Linked DNA regions of Mus musculus: all the other regions are reported to be linked to region 3. The links are microRNA targets in miRTarBase. Many come from high-throughput screens and were not tested one by one. Region 3 holds a microRNA gene; each other region holds the end of a gene's coding sequence.
Evidence for each region. Region 3 holds the annotated microRNA mmu-miR-3966 (AGCUGCCAGCUGUAGAACUGU, at 3,653-3,673, shown strand). A microRNA usually pairs through its seed, bases 2 to 8, with sites in the 3' UTR of a target mRNA and lowers its output. Matches are read on the target gene's strand: a 7mer-m8 pairs with bases 2 to 8, a 7mer-A1 pairs with bases 2 to 7 and ends in A, and an 8mer does both.

Region 1: the mRNA of Plekhf2 is a reported target of mmu-miR-3966. Seed matches in the 3' UTR shown: 8mer at 5,979-5,986.
Region 2: miRTarBase lists Styx as a target of mmu-miR-3966. Seed matches in the 3' UTR shown: 7mer-m8 at 3,520-3,526.

What each region holds. Positions count from the first base shown.
Region 1 is chr4:10,984,155-10,991,357 of GRCm38, forward strand. It overlaps Plekhf2 (pleckstrin homology domain containing, family F (with FYVE domain) member 2), which reads right to left. Exons shown (of 2, transcript NM_175175.4): 2 at 4,508-7,200. The coding sequence starts at 7,186. The coding sequence ends at 6,437. It also overlaps the pseudogene Gm2401. Among named protein-coding and RNA genes, the nearest start is that of Plekhf2, 20 kb to the right of the region's middle.
Region 2 is chr14:45,372,858-45,380,060 of GRCm38, reverse strand. Styx (serine/threonine/tyrosine interaction protein) reads right to left here. Exons shown (of 11, transcript NM_019637.3): 11 at 3,177-6,549. The coding sequence ends at 6,476. It overlaps Gnpnat1 (glucosamine-phosphate N-acetyltransferase 1), which reads left to right. Exons shown (of 6, transcript NM_019425.2): 6 at 1,575-3,640. The coding sequence ends at 1,722. Among named protein-coding and RNA genes, the nearest start is that of Gnpnat1, 12 kb to the left of the region's middle.
Region 3 is chr10:97,419,841-97,427,043 of GRCm38, forward strand. Mir3966 (microRNA 3966) reads left to right here and starts at 3,638; the gene lies at 3,638-3,722. The region is part of intron 1 of Gm34114 (a long non-coding RNA gene); the gene reads right to left.

The DNA of each region.
Region 1 (7,203 bases), not on the chromosome of region 3:
GCCTTCCTTCCTTGCTCCTTTCCTTTTATTCCTTCCCTCTTCCCCTCTTCCCTCTCTTCTTCTTTCTTTCTCTTTCTTTCCTTCCTTCCTTCCTTCCTTCCTTCCTTCCTTTCTTTCTTTCTTTCTTTCTTTCTTTCTTTCTTTCTTTCTTTCTTTCTTTCTCTCTTTCTCAAAATGAACAGTTTGTATACACTGTGAAAGGCATTCCTCGTCCGGTTTCCTTCTGAACACTTCATTGTTAGGGTCCAGCAAGAGGGCCAAGGCAAGGGACGAACCAGGAAAGAACCTGCCGACAGGACTTTCCCAGGGCACAGAGCCTGCGCAGGCTGAGCAATGCGCAGGGCAGCCTGGGACAGGAGGCAGAACCCAGAGAGGGGACAGGCCCCCCTGGGGGAGCAACCTGCCTTGAGTTGTGAGAGCTAAGAGCATGCGGAGAGGGCCTCCTGAAGAGAGCAGCACTTATATATCCAGTTATAGATCCAAGATCAGGTGAAGAGATCTTCTACACGAGGAGGCCAAGGATCTCCTGGGTAAGGCCAGAGTTGAGAGAAGACAGATGTGGCGTGAAAGATCAGTTTGCATACATACTTAGGGTTACCACTGCTGTGATGATGCACCATGACCAAAAGCAACTGAGGAGGAAAGGGTTTATTTCATGCACAGTTCCATAGAACAGTTCATTATCAAAAACAGTGAGAGCAGAAACTCAAGCCGGGCAGGAACTGGGGCAGAGGCCATGGAGGGAGGCTGCTTACTGACTTGCTCTTTTATTTTCTTTTTCCAATTTTTTATTAGATACTTTCTTCATTTACATTTCAAATGCTATCCAAAAAGTTCCTTATACCCTCCTCCTGACCTGCCCCCCTACCCACTCACTCCCACTTCTTGGCCCTGGTGTTCCCCTGTACTGAGGCATATAAAGTTTGCAATACCAATGGGCCTCTCTTCCCAATGATGGCCAATTAGGCCATCTTCTGCTACATATGCAGCTAGAGACACGAGCTCTGGGGGTACTGGTTAGTTCATATTGTTGTTCTACCTATAGGATTGCAGACCTCTTCAGCTCCTTGGGTGCTTTCTCTAGCTCCTCCATTGGGGGCCCTGTGTTCCATCCAATAGCTAACTGTGAGCATCCACTTCTGTATTAGTCAGGCACTGGCAGAGCCTCACAAGAGACAGCTATATCAGGGTCCTTTCAGCAAAATCTTGCTGGCTCTTAAAGGGATATTTAACCTGCTTCTACCAGGGGTGGCTCCACCCACAAGGGTTTCAAAGGACTGGGCCCTCCCCCATCAGTCACTAAGAAAAAGCCCTCCAGGCTTGCCAGCAGCCAGATCTTATGGAGGGTTTCTCAATGGAGACGCCTCAGCTCTAGTATCTCTTAACTGTGTCAAGTTGACATAAAACTAGTCAGCAGAGTGAGCAAATCGTTTAAATGTCTTCTAAAAGGGACTTGTCTGTGTGTATGCCATGTGTTTGGCTGCCCTTGGAGGCCAGCATAGAGGAATGGATTCCTTCAGGCTGATTAGCCTGATGTGGGCGCTGGGAACGTAGCAAGTTCAGGGTATTAAAATTGTGTGTGCACCTGCTCACTTGTGAGAGCCATTTGTATGTAAGTGTAAAACCTGAAAGGGCATTGATACCTCTGGAGTATCTGGAGTTACAGGCAATTGTTAATTTGCCAGATTTAACCCCTGTTACCTGGAACCCAAGCAAGCACTCTTAGCTGCTCAGCCATCACCTCAGCCCTTACTTATTTTCGTGGTCCTTTTATAATGGCTATACTAATTTACATTCCTACCCAGCATGCCAGAGTTCCCTTCCCCACACCTTTACCAACACATGCTACCTTCATCTTGATAATAGCCATGTGAGCTCATCGTGGCTTTGTTCCTTGGTGACTAGGGACACTAAACATTTCTAAAAGTATAGGTGCTAATGCTCTGTATGTCTTTAGAAAAATCTCTGCAGTTAAGTCCTTTCTAGTAGTAAGTGGGCAGAAAAGGCATTTACATTACATTCATGCAGCTCTCACTAACACTGGCGTTGTCTTCAGCACGTCCTAGATGACGGACGATTTCTGTCTTCTGAGCCACTGCATATTCAGAAGTGTAATTTACCCACTGACTGGAAGAGAAAAGCTCATGAAATTCACCAGTGTTTTATTTACCTGGAAATTCCTTATGAAGTGTAATGAGTTTTCTATTTCACTAGAAGACAGCCCGACAGCCCCTAGTCCTTTCTGGAGGCACTGTGGGCACTGTTTTGTGGATCAGTAACTGGAGTCAGTAGAAAACACAGGAGGAAGTCTTGGTAACCAGGGCAGGAAAGAGCTGGCCATGGTGGTACTTGCCTGTAATCCCAGGATTTGGGAGTCTGAGGCACAAGAATCCATCAGAAATTCCAGTCTAGCTCAGCCATGAATAAATTACATAAATTAGCAAGACTTGTCTCAGAAAAATAAAGGGAAATGTGAAAAAAAGGAAAATATTTGCAAATTGTTTTTGATTATAGGATACTTAGGGAAAAGATAACATATTTATCACTAACCCTGATGCTGCCCTCATGTGGTTCCAGAGCTTGGGAGCCTGGATGTAATCCTCAGTCATGATGCTGAGTGGGAAACCAGCCAAGCTTCTGTCCCAGAATAAAACACTATAGTATCCAGTTTTAATACCCTGAACTTGCTACGTTTCCAGTGCCCACATCAGGCTAATCAGCCTGAAGGGATCCATTCCTCTATGCTGGCCTCCAAGGGAAGCCAAACACACATGGCATACACACAGACGTAAACATAAGTCCCTTTTAGAAGATATTTAAACGATTTGCTCACTGTGCTGGCTAGTTTTATGTCAACTTGACAGTTAAGAGATACTGGAGACACACACACACACACACACACACACACACACACACACACTGACCCAAAAGAGTGCAAGGAGTTTATTAACTTTAAATAAATTAAACTGAAAAAAATTATTTGATACTAAGAGTGTCAAGTGTTCAATAATGCTAAACAAATGAACCATGAGAACATCTTAGTGAACTAAATGGGTCCCCAGAGGCTACAGTGAATGATTTCACTATAAATCCCCTACCCCAGCCCCCAAAGAGCAAAGATAAACAGAGACAGAAAGTGGGTGCCCAAGGCCAGGGGGTCAGGGAGTGCCTCCTGGGCGGGCAGGATAAAGCTATCCAAAGCTCAGTGATAGCTTGAATGAACATGAATCACTGAACTGAACATCTCAAACAGGTGGACTGCAGGTAGATAAATAAAATGGAGGATGTTTCAAATAAAGCTGCTAAAATTTGTAAGTTAAGGCACACAATTACATTTTCTCCATACAAACTCGCAGGCTCATGCACAAACAATGCAAGTGGTAAATTCTTTATTGCCCCTGATAAAAACGTGTATCTCCAAAGCTTTTCAACTATCATTTTAATGTGGCTTACTTACTAGGACAATTAACTGGATAGCAAAGGGGGTAATACCAGTCAATCTCCCTGTTCTTTCTACTCTTGGAAAATTAAGATGTTAAGAGTCACCGAGAGGGGGACAGCCTAAGAGCAGCTCGCAGAAGCACCATGGTTCACCTCACCGCCTTTTCTGCAAAGCCTATCAGAGAGTCCACCTAAGCATACACCTTGCTTCGGGTGGCTGCACCAATCAGCCTTTTTACCACATTGTGGTTGCTCACAAGTGTTACAGGAATGGCCACTTCTGGAGCAATTGGGCTCCGATGATCCACTGCCCAAAAGTAACGGAGAAAACTTTGTTGCCCTCAACCTGGACCAGATCCGGCTTTGGATTGGCTGTGGGGCTCACTTCTCTAAGCCTACAGAGAAACTTCTGGGTCTTTCTGCCTCTCCTCTCCTCCACCCTCCACCACAATCAGATGATGATCACCAACTTGGAGACTGCAGAGGAGGAGAGCAGGAGAAATCCTCTTGGTGTCTCAGAAAGCAGAATCAGAGCCCAGAGAGACAAGCAAGCCGACTTTAGCAAGCACAGCTGTGTTGCCTCAAGGTCAAGGACCTGTAAAACTTGTGCAGAGTTTTGTATTGGGTTTGAGGATCAATAAACAGAGTTTCCCAAGTCAAAAAAAAAAAAAAAAAAAAAAAAAAAAAAAAAAAGCAATTCTGCCAATCCTGCATCAGCACCTCCTAAAGAGTGGACAGGGCTGGAGTGTGGCTCAGCTGGTGGGTGCTTGCCTAGAAGAACGAAGGACCTCAGTACTCTGGGTCAGTCCAGCCTGCTATTCTAGTCCTCTGGATGTGGAGGCACGAGGATCAGTTCAAGGGAATTCTCAGCTTCGCAATTAGAGCTACTACTTGCTACATAGTCCGTTTGAGGCCAAAATAGGTCTATCTAAAAACAAAAAACTATTCTTCATTAGTGTCTACATCCTAAGCATTCATATCTAATATATACTAAGGTGGAATTATGCATAATATCTTAGTTAGAAAAGGAAGAAAATATTCAATTACAATATAAAAACACAGGAAATAAGCTGCAAAATATTTTTATTGTAAAAACAGTCAACTGAGGTCGACAATGCAAATGTTATCTCAGGACATTTCCCCTTGGTTTCTGAACTTCCAAGTTCCCATCAGCATTTCTCTGGTTTTTATGGTCCTTTCAAACATGCTTACTGACTGCATGTATATGCTGCTCTGAGACAAACACAAATCCATCCATCTGATAGTAAAACCAAACAAAACAAAAAGCAGGAACAAAGCCCCTAGCCTGGTTCTATTGTGCTTTTTTTCACATTTCCTACAGGGAGACCTATGTAGCTCACACACTTTCAAAACTGAGCAGCAAAGTAAAATTAGTACTGTAACCACAAAGCCAAATACCAATGACTTTCATTCACAAGTTACTGACTCAAACCCTAGGACATCTGCAGAATTATGCAGGTTTTAAAGTTTGAAAAAGGGAAACTGGGTTTGAAAAGAACTCTGAAAAAAAAAAAAAAACAAACCAAAACAAAACAACAACAAAACAAAACAGACCTTTCAGCTTGGTTTCCCACATTTGAAAACCTAGTTACTTAAGCATGCCAGGGGCCAGAATGTGCCTGGCACGTCCAGTGCTATGCAGTAAGCAGGCCTACAGCCTAATGGCTGCCTCCAAACATAAAGAGAATAACTACCAGTTCTCAAAGCAATCTCGGACAATGGTCACAATTTAGAAATATCAACTGCTACTCTATTTCCATATATTGCAAAATGATTTCAGAAACAGATTAAACATACAATTGTTTTACAAAAATAAAAATTGTTTGGGGCTTCATGAACTCTGTAAAATACAATACCACGTTGTAAATCAAGATAATTTCACAAAAAAAATTGACTTGCAGACAGGAAACCTAGTCAAACTCCGATCTCTTCCAGATCTCTAAGACTCCATGTTCTCCTGGGAGGATTTTCTTAAGACTTTTCATTTTTGTCAGGTGGTAGTGGTGCCTGGGGAGGCAAAGGCAGAGGCAGATGGATTTTTGAGAATTCAAGGCCAGCCTGGTCAACAAATCGAGTTCCAGGATAAGCAAAGCTACACAGAGGAACCCTGTTGGAAAATATAAGGGTTTCCTCAGATTTTTCCTTTTAGAAATAATGTAAAGCAAATAAAGTTATTTGTAAAAATATATCAGGAAAGTAGAAGCTAGTGGGATATGCCACTTCTATACTAGTGATGAGTTTCAAATCGAATCCCGAACAGTGGCAACGGGCTAAACATATGTGACCATTATAATTTGGTGCATAAAAGATGTAAAAATATAATCACAACTATTTTATGAAAAATATTCATATAAGATTGGAGAAACCTCTAAATTTAGTTCCTCATAGCTGTCAAATAAATATGCTTACCTATATCCATCAAACACTCATTCTCCACCTGTAAGAGCACCAGTGTGTCTAAATCAATCAAACAAGAAAGAAGGTAGGGCTTACGTTTATTTCAGTGACAGTGACACTGCTGCCACAGTAAGGCACCACTTGGTATTGAGAAAAGAGAATAAAGGATTTCCAAACCATGCTCTGTCACTGGTGTCGTAACCTTGACATCGACTGCTTGGGGAAAAGCCAGATACCAAGCACATCATACTCTTGTTCCCATCATTCTGTGCTTTTAGATTTTCCACATCAGGGGGAAATAAATGTAATACAAGATCTGTTAAATAAACATTCTTTCCAACTTACAAGGAAATAATCTAGAAATAAGGACAGTAGAAAGCCAAGACCCTATCGGATGTATCTGCAAGTTTGTCCCTGTGAGAGAGTGCAGAGGGGAGCAGAAAGCATGGGGCTGCTTTCCATAGGATACAGAGAGGCACAGAGGTTAAGACTTCTCAGGCAGTCATGGCTAAAGCAAACTGAGAGCGCCCCCAAAGCTGACTCTCAGGCAGTCAATTAAATACTTCACAGCATATCCTTAGTCACTGCTATCATCATCGTCGTCGTCATCAGATGCATCATTTAAAGGAGACTTCAACGACTGACTATAAGAGTCTGATCTAGTCGGCTGACACGCGGCCATGTCCCCCGTGGAAAGCAGGTCATAGCAGAAGTCACAAATCCGCACAGGCTTAGAAGACTGGCTGGGAAGAAGAAATCGCTTTTCAGAGCAGGGACCACAAACAACAAAGCCACATTTGCGGCAATGGTGCCGCCGATTGACTGGTGTGAATTTTGCTTTCTGACAGCGCATACACACGGTGGCCTCAGAGTCAGGAACCCAGACAGCAGCATGCTCGTTGCTGGGCGTCTTCCCACTTTTGGAGAGTAAATCAGTGACACACTTATTTATGTGATTCATCCACTCTGACTTCTCCGTGGCAGTGGCAGCATAAACTGCAAACGACTTAGTCGGTGTCTTAATAAGCCATCCATTCCGTAATTCCCCTTCATCTTTGATGGAATCAATGGTGACATTTTCCAAGGGAATAATATGCTGTTTGTTGTATTTTTTCTTCTGGATAACAATATTGCCGTATACTAGAATATCATTAAATAAGAAAAACTGCCTTGCTTTAGGCTTCTTTCTGCACAACTTAGTCAACACTCCTTCTCCAATAAGCACTCGCCCAGGGATGGTCAAGGGCTGACCAGCGGCTCCAAAACAGCTCTCCACAATACTTATGCGTCTAGTATTCGCCTCACTGTTTGCCAGGCGATCCACCATCTTTTGCTAATAACCTT
Region 2 (7,203 bases), not on the chromosome of region 3:
TCAGATACAAATCAAAGGCAATGTTTAATATTTGCATAGGAGAACTGCCAGGCTATGAGTAGAAGAACTTGTATTTAGATATAACCTCTGAGTTTTAATGAGTCTACTCAATAAATAGGCATCGGGTATGCATCATGTAGTCCCTAAGCATTGGGATCCTTGATGTATGAACTGCACCAGTTTCTACTATTCTAATCCAGGCAACTAGTCATGTCTAAAACATTAGAACATGAACGTTGTTTTTCAAGAATGACAAAGGATGTGCCTAACTATAAAATTGGCAGGACAGTCACCTCAAGCTCAAGACCAGCCTGGACTATATGACAAGATCGCGTCTAAATATACACACAACAGAAGACCCTTCAGTTAGCACAGTTTGCTTTTTTTCAGACAGGGTTTCTCTGTACATCCCTGGCTGAACACTCACTCTGTAGACCATGCTGGCCTCAAACTCTGAGATCTCTCTTTTTCCTAGTACTGAAATTAAATCGATTCAGACTAATCTTGAGTTAATCTGATCCATATTTCCTTTAAAAAGTAGCTTTTATAAAATGATTGAAGACAGCTCTCAACAGGCAGGGGCAGGCAGATCTGCGGGTTAATGCATAGCCAGTTCCAGGCCAGCCAATGAGACTGTCTCAAGAACATAGCTATTTCATACTCATTTTATGTGAACCTGGCAAATGCTTTCAGTTGGAGAAAACATAAAGGTACCCCCACCCTGCAACCTTACAATATCACTGAGCTACACCCCCCAACCTGGAACAAAGATATTTTGGGGTTTCTTTTTTGAGTTAAGGTCTCCTGTTGCTTTGTGGTGGAAGACGACCTTTAATTCCAGAGCTTCCTGTTTGGTCTGTGTCACCAAAGCTAGCTAGAGACCTTTCACAAAAAAATAACATGGGCTATGTTTTTTAAAACCTGATGCATTTTAGTGTCTTTCTGTTTGTTTTGCTGTGTTTGGTTCCCCTAACCCCAGCATTGGGACTGAAGCTAGAGCTTCACACAGGTTTGGCAAGCAGCCTAGCACTCCAGCCTCTCATATGGTTAGCAAGGGGGTGAGAGTTGCCACACTTGGGAGTAATCTTCAGTTTGATCCCAAGAAAGCAGAAAGGAGAGAACTACAGGAAACAACCTTCACCCTTGTGCTGCTGGTGTGTCCCTCCGCCCATAATAAAAGAGGGTGAGTTATTTATTAACAGTCTGGAGGCTAACGTGTTTGAAACAGAATAAAAATGCTTCAGCGACTTAAATGTTTATCAACTTAATAATCTGAACACTTAAAGGAGTATTATTGGTCTGGGCAGTGGTGGCGCACGTCTTTAATCCCAGCACTCGGGAGGCAGAGGCAGGTGGATTTCTGAGTTTGAGGACAGCCTGGTCTACAGAGTGAGTTCGAGGACAGAAACCCTGTCTCGGGTGGGGGTAGGGTGGGGGTGGGGTTAGTATTATTGGAAAGACCACGATCTAAGCTTATATATACTGAATCAATACTATTATTTTTATGTAACACTAATCTGTGTCATTATCAAGGCCCATTTTGGTTAATGCTGTCTTCTTATCCTTTTTTTCAGGTTATTATCAACTCTTACTTTGCTAAGCAAGAAATTGAACTGTTACAAGATCACCCTTGAATGTCTACCACAAAATGTTGGTTTCTACAAAAAGTTTGACTATACAGTATCTGAAGAAAATTACATGTGTCGGAGGTTCCTAAAGTAAAAACCACCATCAAGAGGTTAATGCTACAAAGCTTAAATAACTGTTTTAGAGTTCATTTTTGTTGCTGCAGCCCAGTGAGCTCCCTAACTACTAGACTGAAGTACACTGTGGTGTGCCAGTGTGTAGTAACCTGGGAGGATGCTGGGAATACAAATAAAGGGGAGGATTTTTAACCAAAGGAATATATTTTCAACTTGAATCTTTTCTTGCATTGTATTTTTCTAAAGTTTGTCTTCATTTCTTGGTAGTCAAGTGTATGGGTAGTAAACATGTCTGCTCTATGCTGCTCATTTTTAAATATATGTATATACATATATATTGAATAAGGGTGTTTCTTACCATAAAATTATTTTTGTCTCATACATCTAAATAGACTTAAGGTGCACCATTTCTCATTGGACACTTCTGTTATCATGACCACCAGATACATATTTGTTGTTGATCCTAACCCTGCAGTCTTTTTAAAGCAACAAAAGAAAAATGGGACAAGGTACAACAGCTTAAATAACGATTTACTAAGTGTAAAGTTTTGTGCAGATACTGTACCACCTGCCACCTGTCACATGGTATTAGAATTATCCAGGGTCCTTTTCATTTGTCAATGAGCAGCTCCCAGAGCTGCTACCCTGGTTTCCGTACCATTGACATTTGAAGCCTTTGAGTCACAAAAAAATGTTCAGTACTTCCTAAATTTAGTATAGCTTTAAAATGATGGTAGCTTTTCTATTTAATGTGATTATAATGGTACTATTATTCTGATCCCTGTCCTTTCTGTTTTATTTAAATGATTTTTAAAATAGAATCAGATACTTTATTAATAGTGGTTCTAATCTTTTGCATTCCATGTTATTACATTAAACTTGTTTATATGAATAGTCTTTCATGTTAGAATCTTGTCTTGTGTTTTTCTTTTTTGTTGAGACAGGGTGCCCAGGATATCCTGGAACCCCTCACACATGTTCTAAGAACTGGTATTCCAGGCATGTACCACCATGATCAGCTTCAGTCTATTAGGTTAAGACCTGGCTCTTAATACCCTAGGTTTAAGTATCTTTGTACTTCAATTGGACTTTGGATTTTCCTGCAGTCATTAGGTTTGTCTTTGATTTTCAGAGTTCTTTAGTTCTGTAACCATGACACAGCTTCATTAGGTTTTATCTATGTTAAAAAAAGCCTTTTCCCCAAAGTAAAATTTAGCACTTTATTTTTTAACATTAAACTCTTTGGTAAGACAGTCTGTGATGTTAGTATTTCAATAAAACCCATGGAGTTGTGTTTTCTCTTAAATCGTCTTACAGAAACAGTTGTAGCATGTCACCAACTGAAACCGTTTTAATATTATTAAATTTTTACTCACCTTAATCTGTGGGAGTAAAGCTGGGTTACTTCTACCCAGAAGACAAAGAGGTCTTGAGGCATAAGGAATATGAATGAGCTTCTCAATCATTGCAAGTACAATGGCACAAGAGTTTTAATACAACCACCAGTCTTCACAAAATAATTTTAATACTTTGTGCCCAGGCTAGCAGCATCTTGCACTGTGACATTCCTATACATACATAAGCATTTTATCTGAGTACAAATGTTAAAAGTAGAATAACGTAAGCAATTGCCTATACAGAGGTAAAGAGACACATATGTTACTGTTCTTGAGTCATTTTTGCTGCATAGTAAATTGCAATTACATGTCAGTATCATGTTACTGATTGAGAAAACACTTTGAACTGTGAGGTATGGTAGCTCCCTGTAAGAGAGCAGAACATGTAAACCTGAATATTTTGAGTGATTTTTTTTTTAGCTGCCATGGATGGGAAAGACAAAAGAATTATCCAGCACTCAAGACTCTAGAAACTTATTTTCCTAATAAAAATAAATAAACAAAATCCTTGAGTAATTCTCAGCTATTTCCTACTATTTGCTCATTGGAGTGTTGTTGAATGGACAAAGATACTGTAAATACTGACGTGAAGTTATGCTTTAGGATTGTGAATTAAACCGGTTATTTAAAAAGATCCATCAGGTAACTGCTCATTTACTTTACATCAAGTTGACATCCTAATATATACATCCAACTTCATAATTCAAGATTGCACTTAAATACTTCTAATTCATGTGAATTCCATAGCAGTTAAACAATTAAGAACCTTATGTTTTATTACAAAGGACATGCTTAGCATTTTCTGACATTACTTCTAGACTCAGATTAAGTAGATTAAGTACAGCCCTACACCCCTTCAAATGAATATTCTGTTCTACAAGCGGTTGAAAGTTGGTAGCAAAGTTATCACACTTGAACATTCCTACTATAGAGTTGGTATAACATCTAATAGACAAGAAACTAGCATGAATCAGTTAAACTAGGAGAAGACTCCCTTCTCCACTCCAGTTTCCAGGAGCTGTCTCAAACTTTCAAATGGGGAGTAATGAAGTTCCCTAAGTTTTGATAAGAAAATGTATAGTTTTAATTATGAACCCAGCTTTCATATTTAATACTGAAACTGGGTGGACATTCATACATTATTCAAGTTGTCTAGAGAATAAATCATGATTGGATAAATTTATCATAGTTAACTTACAAAACATCACTAGAAATGGAACCTAAGACAGCTACTGACAGTAAATACAGAGGAAGAAAAGAAACTTGGAGGCTTCTTATGAAAGGACAAACTTCATCTGTCCACATCAACTGTGCTCAACATGGTGGCAGTCCCTAGTGTCTGAGACTGTCTCCAGTATATCGTGCTGGATAGGCACTTTATGTGAGAAGAAAAAAATGACAGTGGATAGAAAAATGGAAAATTACCAGCTACAAATGAATGTCAATAACCTCTGTTTTTGGACAGACTCCTATTTAAAGAGGAACATGTATTTTTATAAAACTTATTTTAAAAAGTTACTTCACATGTCTCATCTTGAAAATCCAATTTTTTTAAAATAGAGATTGCTTTAATCACAATTTCTGTTCAGTGAGCCATGGATTATGGGTTGACTCCAAGAGAGATCTTTGTTGGCCTGTATGTATACAGGGATTTTTGAATACCCAATGTAATCTTGGCTCTGCTAGACCACCATGCCTGTGACACAACAGAATTAAAAGCAATGCTTTTTTTCAGAGCTGAAAGATAGGAGATGGGATGGGAAACCAGAAGAGGCTAGAAATCAAGGTAACAGTAATTCTGGTTTATATTCAGGCTCCTACTGTGAAGGACAAAGAACCTTTCTATACTGTTGATGTCATAGGGTGGTGAGCAAAGCAAGGAACTTAAGTGCAACCTGTTACCTTACACAGTGCCTCATGGTACCCTGGGAGTGTGCGGGCATCATTCCCAACCGTAAAGCACCTCGAAAGAGGGCTGAGACACGTGAGCTATATATATATAAAGGAGCTGTGTTTGTGCTACCCTAAAGTCATCATGTACAAAAGTTAAAAACACTTCTCTCTTCTGCACATCACATTTACAGTAGTAAAATGTTTTTTGTAGAACAACTTTTATACATATAGATAAAAACATGGAAAACTAAAGAGCCATAAAATGATTTTGCTAATGCAAATTATGGTACAAATTTGAATTAATTTAGGAACAAGTTAAAACAGTAATCTACAATACACTGAAGCCACCCACAAATTGCTTTCCCCAATGGATACATCTTCAAAGCAAAGCTGTCAGCTGAACCTCAGAGAAATAATTAACAGAAAATAGAAGGAAGTGTCTCATTCCAAATAATTTACTTTCTTCAAGCATCAGATTTAATTTATGATTTTAAAACAAGAAATTACAGAAAAACGTTAATAGCTGTTCACTGCTTTATATACTAATTTAGAAGTCATGAGGATTTGCTTGTTTGTTGATGCAAGGCACTTTTCTTTTGGGGGTTTCATATTGAAGAAACAGTGCTACATTGGTTTGGTCTACTTTGAACCATTTTGGACAAAAGTTAGAAGAGCTCAGCAACTCTGAAAAGACCAAGTCTACATTTGGCTTAAACAGCAAAGAGAAAAAAGTCATGTGGAAAATATAACACTATCCTTATTTTTTGGAGTATCTGGTTTTAGAAAGTAAGACCTCTTTCTTTAATCATTTCAACTTTTCTCATTTAGAATAAGGGAGGCAATTAGAAAGGAAGTATTAACTGTATTAAATTGTAAAGTAGGCTAGTTGGCTAAAGTCATGATTTAAAGATACGGGACCAAGAAGTTTAAAAAAATGGTAATCAAGTTACTGAATTATACTAAAAAATGTGGACAAGTTCTACATTTTGTTAATGTTTTTGTAAGAGGCTTCATCATAAAATTGAACTGTAAAATTACCTTAAATGTAATATATATAACACAAAATGAGTTTTTAGGAAACATTAGGAAATTTTTTTGTTATAAATTATCCAAAATCTATAAACAAATCCCCCTAACTTGTATTTTGTTTAAAGTAATAACTTTATATCATACAAATAAATTTCAAGTATGAAAAGTGCATTATTGCAATAATACCTCTTTGCAAGTCCAAAATTCTTGGTTTATAATAAAACCATAAAGGTTTTTTTGTTTCTTTTTTTCTCTTTTTTTTAAGTAAACCCATCACCCATCAGTGCCATCTACTGCATAAGTCCAACATCTTAAAGTGTTGCAGAGAAACATGTCTGGAAGCAATGTATAATTGAAAAGAAAGTATTTGTGAGTTTACCATTTCACATTATCATCACTAGGATCCTCTCCTTTCCAGATGGAAGCTCACACCCATGTAACAGTCCTCACAGGTCAGCCGTTCTGTGCGGTTGCCACTTGCATGTTTCCAAAGTCGTCATCTTCCTCATGTGTTCTCTTCACACTACCTACAGGTTATTGAATGAACGCACAGTGAGAACTTCACGTTGGGATACCACAAGCAGCAAAGTAGCTAGGTGAGTTCCAAGCTAGCCTGGGCTACATGGCTAATTCTGGGCCATCCAGCACTACATAGTAGGAAGGATGGCTCAGCAGTTAAGAACCCACTGCTCCTTCAGAGGACCTAGCTTTGGTTCCTAGTATTTACTTGGTGGCTTACAACCATCTATAACTCCAGTTCCAGACATTTGCTGCCATCTTCTGATCTTCTCAGAAACCTGGCATGCACGTAGTATATGTGTGTGTACATACATGCAGGCAAACACTCATAATAAAGCTTAAAAACAACAAAAACTCAAGACAGGAGCAAAGAGAAATTGAGATAACTTGAATTGCACTGTTGAACTTGAAACACACTTTTTTATGTATTAATCACTTTTTTCATTTTGTTCTGAGACAAGGTCTTGATATAATCTTCCTGCCTCCATCACCCAGGACTGAGACTTTTTTTTTTTTTAAGATTTATTTATTATATGTAAGTACACTGTAGCTGTCTTCAGACACTCCAGAAGAGGGCGTCCGATCTCGTTACGGAGGGTTGTGATCCACCATATGGGATTTGAACTCAGAAGAGCAGTCAGTGCTCTTAACCGCTGAGCCAT
Region 3 (7,203 bases):
AGTTCAGCAAAAATGTATGTATACCAAAACTCATTGGTAAGCTTGAGATTTTATACATGTAAGGAGAAATGGGATGCTTAAAACAGTTCAAAGAGATGGTCATAGCAGTAATAGAAATAATTAATAGCGTAAATGTAAAAATGCTGATTTATTATAAATGAATTATTTATAAATGAATAGTACAGATGAAATGGGATAATAGTTTGTGGAGAGGAAATATCTTGACAACAGGCATGGTCCTTTGGGGAATTTTCATGGGACCCCTTTGGCCAACAATTCAATTGGATGTAACCTGGTCGAGGTACTAGAACCGGTTTTTGGTGACACCAGACAACAAGTTAGCCGAATGTCTGTCTCCCTCATTATTTGGAGAATACCTTAGGCTTGCTTTCATATATTTTAGGAAGTTTCCACTCATTCAGTTTCCATACCACCCATCAAATATGCCTTTATTCTAGCTACCTCTTCCTGTGTTACCTTCTTCAACAGCATCTCCCTTCTCTCTCCTCCCATTCCTGTCCCCCCAACCCTGGTACACTCATGCAATTTGTTGCATTTCCCTCTCCTAGGGAGATACATGTGACCCCTCCCTTGTCCTTTCCTCTATAGCTGACCTTTCTGGGTCTATAGTTTGTAGTTTGGTTGTAATTTACTTAGTGGTTAATACCCACATATAGTGATTATGTGCCATATTTATCATACTGGGTCTGGATTACCTCACTTTGAATGAATTTTTTTTCTAGTTCCATCCATTTGTATACAAATTTCAGGATGTTATTTATTTAACAGCCAAGTAAAACTCCATTGTATAACTATACCATTTTCTTTATCTATTTTTCTGTTGAGTGACATGTACTTTTTGTTTGTTTTGTTTTACAGAATCTGGCTCTTATGAGTAGAGCATCAGTGAACATGGTGGAACAAGTGTCCATGTGATTGGATTATGCACTCTTTACATATAAGCCCAGGAATTATATAGCTGGTTGAGGCAGATAGATTCCCAACTAACTTACACAAGTCATAAATCTTTAGGTACAAAATGTCTTCATTTTTAAAAAATAATATATTCTTTAATTGGCTAAGAAGGACTTAATAATCTCAGTCCCAATAAATAGTTGTATCAATAATAATTAAGAACATAGTTTTAGCTCCAAATATTTACTATATCTATATCTATAGCTAAATGCAAACCTCAGCAATGCAATTTGTGAAAAGTTATTTCCAATGAAGTGTTTTTTTTTAAAGCAACTTGTCCTATTTTCATATTTAATTTGGGATTTCAACTTTATCTAGAATTACTCCAAAACAAGCCCCATGCGCATGGCTGTAAGAGATTACGTAGAATAGGTTAATTGTGGTGGGAAGGCCACTTTAACTATACTCAGCATTATCCCACGAGCTAGGGTAGACTAAAAAGGGAGCTGAGACCTGTCTCCTTATTGCAGATGAACTGTGACCAGCTGATGCCATGATTTTCCCACACTGATGACTGTGCCTTGGGTATGAAACAAAGTGAACCCCTTCTGACTTAAGTTGCTCTGGTCAAAACTTTGCAGTACACACAAGACAAGCTAATACATCTATGAAATGATGGGATATGTCAACTTGTATGATTTTTAACTAAAGTTTTGTAAACAAATGCATGGAGAGTTGGAAAATAAGCAATATCTACAATTATCAAGCTATTAACTCAATAAGCTACTTACAAGAAACATGCATTTCATGATTGCAATAACATGAAGAATCTAAACTAGACAATTATATAGGGCTAACAAATGGATTTGTAGTTTTAAGCTGCATTGGTAGGGTAAATTAAAAGTAAATAATCAATCATCATAAACGGTAAGTTAGAATGGATCACCAAGTTCTCAAGATGTGGTATACTTGTGCCCATGGTCAAGAATAATATTTATACATCTGAAACTTCATCAAAGGAGTGGATCTTTGATAAGTATTATTGTAATACAGCACTAAATAACAAAGACTTGGACAAATACCACATATTCCCTATAATATGACCCTTGTCTAGATTCTAGCCTCTAAGTTCCATAAGTATATATTTATGTAGGGTTCTTGAGAGAGAATCATGGGGTGGGGGTAGGAAATAGTTTTAAGAGAGTGAGGTAAATGAGCCAATAGACTCAATTAGACATGAAGGTGAAGAGGACGTTCTTGGAGTGGGAGGGTGTAAGCAGGACTGCAGGCTAAGGGAGATCTTTTTTTTTTTAATTAGATATTTTCTTTATATACATTTCAAATGCTATCCCAAAAGTTTCCTATTCCCTTCCCCTGCCCTGCTCCCCTACCCACGCACTCCCACTTCATGGCCCTGGCATTCCCCTGTACTGGGGTATATAAAGTTTGCAAAACCAAGGGGCCTCTCTTCCCAGTGATGGAGAGATCCTAAAGGAGAAGTGGATCAACTAAATTACATATAAGGGTAAAATGCCAGAATCAAACCTGGTACTTTGTAGGTTAATTAGCAGTGGATCAAATAAACAAGAAAGCAAACAAACGAACAAAAACCAAACCAAACCAAAACCAAACAAAAGACCCAGAAAACAACAAGATAAACAAACAGCAAAAACAACAAAAGTAATTGTCTTTGTAGCCTATAATCCTACGGTGTATCCCTTACCTGTCTTTATACTTCCCCAAACTGTCAGCTGTGGTGTAGTGAAAACTGTTATATCAGATTTGCCATTAGTGATGTGGAAAGCAAGCCTGCATGGAACACAAGTTTACTAAATGCATTTACAAGTTTGGAGCATGGTATTGATATGGATGGATATTAAATGATGAGAACATAAGATTCCCCACAGAAGAAAATCAGCACTAAAATGGCTTTGTCTTGTGAACAGCTAGATTCTGTTATCAGAGCCCTCCCAGATGTTCCCAGAGGCTCCAACAGAAACCTTGTGAAAATAAAGACAGGAGGCAATAAGAGAATTCTGGGCCCTGGGGATTTGTTTCTTTATAACAAAACTCCTTCAAAGTAGTTTGTCAATGTTATCAGAGTTTTGAAGACATTACAACACAGTTTATAAAATTTCGAACTTAGTGCTCTCCTTTTTTTTTTTTTTTTTTTTTTTTTTTGGAAATTAAAAAGACTGGGAGCATTTTTTTGATTAGTTTCTTCTTTGTAAGAAGATCGGCTTGCCATAGCAGCGATAATTTAGGATGAAAGAGAAGATATTGCCAGACACAATGAGATAGAAGTTAGAAACCTCTAATAGGATTTAGGATTTATGCTTGAGACCTTTTGTAAGACTGTGGCACAATGCATACAAAGGCATAAGACACCGACTGAAAGAGCAAACCTGGGTTTTGATTTTAAGCAAACAGCACATTTTGTGGACTGAACTGAATAAACATCAGGAACTAATCTCTTACATAAGTGTTTTGTTATCTTCCCAAAGCTGAGCTCACACTCTAGGGAGTAGGGGGCAGGCTTTTATTCCACACACCCCCTTTGTTGGCTGACTCTAACATATAACTAAAGCTGATATATTTGCGATAATATGAATTAAAAAATGATTCTTGTTCATATCTATCAGAAAAAATCAAAATATATGTCATAAGAAAAGGTAGAATTTGTTTTTAAGAATCGAGAAGATTTTTTTTAAAAGAACTTAAAAACACAGGAAAAGACAGCTGCCAGCTGTAGAACTGTTTTTAATTAAAACTGTGTTCATCATGCTTGCTGCAGAGTTTTCTTATTTTTCTCTTACATAAAGATGTACTGATTCAGCGATTATTGAATCTTGGACACATTAGAAAACTTTTTTTTTTTTTTTTGAGACTACTTAGCCAACAGAAATCAGCTGTGCTTCATTAGATAATATAGCCCTATGAGGAAGAATTTTTCCTAAATTGTTTCTCATTGGTTCAGAAAAGATCCAAAGGAATTAAAGATCCTCTTCATGTCTAATCTGACAGAAGCAGTGGTAATAAAATAGCAAAAGTAAGTTTATGTATGGAAAATCAGTGAGTTGAGAAACTATGAAAGTTACACAATCCAGGCTCTATTCATACCTCTGCATGTCACTGTGTTACTACATGCTTCAGTAAAACTTATCTAGCACAGAAGGTAAAAGAAAGTTTGTGTCCTAAGAAACATTATGCAATTTTCATGTGCTATAGGCATATTGTAAAATGACATGCACATGCAAGCACACACACACACATATATATATTGCATTTCTATAAAATAGTTGAACTACCCTTGTAGTTAGGGAATTCAACAGTCCTCTCTTAGAAATTTATAGGCGTTTCAAACAGACAGCACAAATATAGTGTAGAAAACCTGATCATCATAAACCATTAAGGTGGCAAAATTGCTATTAATAGGACACTCTAGCTGACAGAAATTAAATTTATATTTTTCCAGCATCTATAAAATATTTTCCAACATGGACCAAACTTTGTAAGGGTAAAAAAGAAAAGAAAAATCTCAAAACTTTGTAAGTGTTTACATCATAAGAGCATAAGAGTATGCTCTATTATGCCAATGAAATCAACTAAATTTAGTAAAAGAGAGAAAAGAATAACAAGTCTGTCCACTGGAAGATTGAATAACAAACTTCCCAGGTACTAATGGCTCAAGGAAGAATTTCAGAAAAGGTGGAGTACGCAAATTTACACAGGGATAAAATTTGAATAAGTCAAAATATCTGGAGGACTGGAGTGCACACAACACAGTTTTGAAGATAAAACTCACAAGACATATGCTTATACTAAGAAATAAACAAAGGTCTTAAATTGGTAAGTCAACAATATAATTAAAAAAAAAAAAAGAAAAGAAAACCAAGAGTCAAGTAAATTTAAAGTAGGAAAATGGTAAAATAGTTACAGGCAAATAAAAATCAATGTAACCAAACAGCAGAAAACAAAAAGCCCTTGAAAGCATAAAAATAGTGCTTATGAAAAGGCCAGTATAAGAAAATAGTTTATCAACAGATCAATTCATACAGAGTTATAGACTATAACATCTCAACTAAATAGAATTAAACCATGTGGCTAGTATCATAAGCAAAAACAAATCTGAATGCGTAAAAGGCTTGCAGAACAACTCTATATGTGGATGGTTCCATTGGAAAACTCTGCCAAGTCTTCACAAAATAGATGGCAATCCTGTGCAGTCTGTTTTAGAAAAAGAAAAGGAGAGACACAAACTTATTTTATGATAGAATTATACTAATAGCAAAATTAAAGAAAGTGGAATGAAGGAGAATGTAGGCCACTACCAGTTATGGTATAGACCCAAAATTCCTAAGCAAATTGAATTCAGGGACATAGATAAATGATTCTACGGCAAGACAAAAAACAATACATCTCATCAGGCACAAAATCAAACGATGGTACTAGGGAGAAGAATTAGCAAGAAAGAGCACTGCTGCTCTTGCCTATGACCCAGATTTGATTCCCTGCACCACGTGACAGCACACAACTACCTGCAGTAATAGTTAACTGACAAAAGTAAGTTCCATGACTTACAAAAGTTAGGATAAAGGATCTTGAAAGCCTCCACGGCAATAAGATGGCAGATATTTGAAGAAATATTTCTGATTTGGACAATATATTCAGTGAGGTCATAGACTCTGGAGGAGAATGTAATATTTCCACTTTCCAAAACTGGTGTTTTCTACTTGTATCCTAATATTTTTATACCCACCTATAAGTGTAGCTCACATCCATCATCAAAGAAGTTTCTTTTTGCAAGTGGTGGAGGCCATTACAGGTATTAACAACTGGTCAAATATAAACACTGACTAGCCATCAGTTGCTGTACCTTACTTGATAGTTCAAAAACACAAATCTCACCAATACTAGGTGAGAGATTGACAAACACAAACCCATAAAAAAAAATCCTAGTCCCAGGGAACATTTCAGAAACAAGGAACAAAAATGTTGTAAGAGCCAGAGGGCATTGTCCTTTGCTGTGACATTATACCTTTTATGTATGGCAGCCAAATTGTATCCTAGAAATATCAACAATATGGCCATCTTAGCAACACCTGCACAACAGTAACATTAGTTCCCATGCTTACATAGATTGGGAAAATATTACAAGGGCCCAGTCCTCCAGGTGAAGAGCTCCATGTGATGAATGAATGGCTGCCAAGAGGAAGAATCAGTCTTTTATCAGGCAAAGATCCCTGATAATCCACCTGATCCCAGATGGTTACCCCTCAACATGCATATATAGGAACAACATTAATGAACCCACAAGGCTGTATTTGTAAACGTGACGCAATAAGAGTTAAAGATTAAGAGGCCATTAATTTGATAGGGGATGGGGGAGAAATGGAAGGAGTTGGAGAGGGAAGGGTAAGATTTATATAACTATAAAACTTGTATGTTGTATTCTAAAGAGTTGAAAGATTAGTATGAAAAAGTGTGTAAGGATGGTTTAGTTACAGTTCTGGTACAGTGATTAAACACTGACAAAAAGCAACTAAGGAGAGAAATGCATTGTTTCTCACCCTTCCATGTCACAGTCTATAAATTTGGAAGTGATGGCAGCCTCTGGGATTGTGTTTTGCACATGGCTATTGTAGTTCTAATAGAGAGCAGTGACGGCAAGGGGCTTAGCTCAGCACTAGTCTTAGTGTGAGAAACTCCTTGACTTCCATTCCCAGTAATATTAAAAAAATGAAATGAAAAGAATGGCTAAATTTAAAGTTTAGATTTCCAACTAATACCAGGTGAGACATTACCAAATTCCAACACATGAAAAAAAAATCCAGTCTTGACCTGTTTTGGTATGATCTATTTGTTTAAAATAATAGGAATTTGTGTAACCACTTAATGGCTGAGAAAAACTAATAAAAGAACATTTTAGGGCATGTCAGTGTGTGACATTCAAATTCATGGAAGAGATACTTCAGATGCAATATAGTAGGTAAGCAGATATCTCTCTACTCTCTGGCTTTTCTTGTAGAATGAAAGGAGGAAAAAACAAGTTTGCCTTCTAATTTCACTTCAGATTCATTTTCATTCATAAAACAAAACAATCTCCAATTCTTTCTCATGATCATCCTCAAAGGGTAAATGAATCATGCTGATAGCTAGCAAGATAAACATCAGAAAAGCCTGACCTTTAGAAAAATACTTCAGCCAAGTATTTTTCTATTTCAATGAAGTTTGGCTGAAATAGGTTAGGAGGCAGCAAAGTGACATTCTGGCAACAAAAGCAATGTC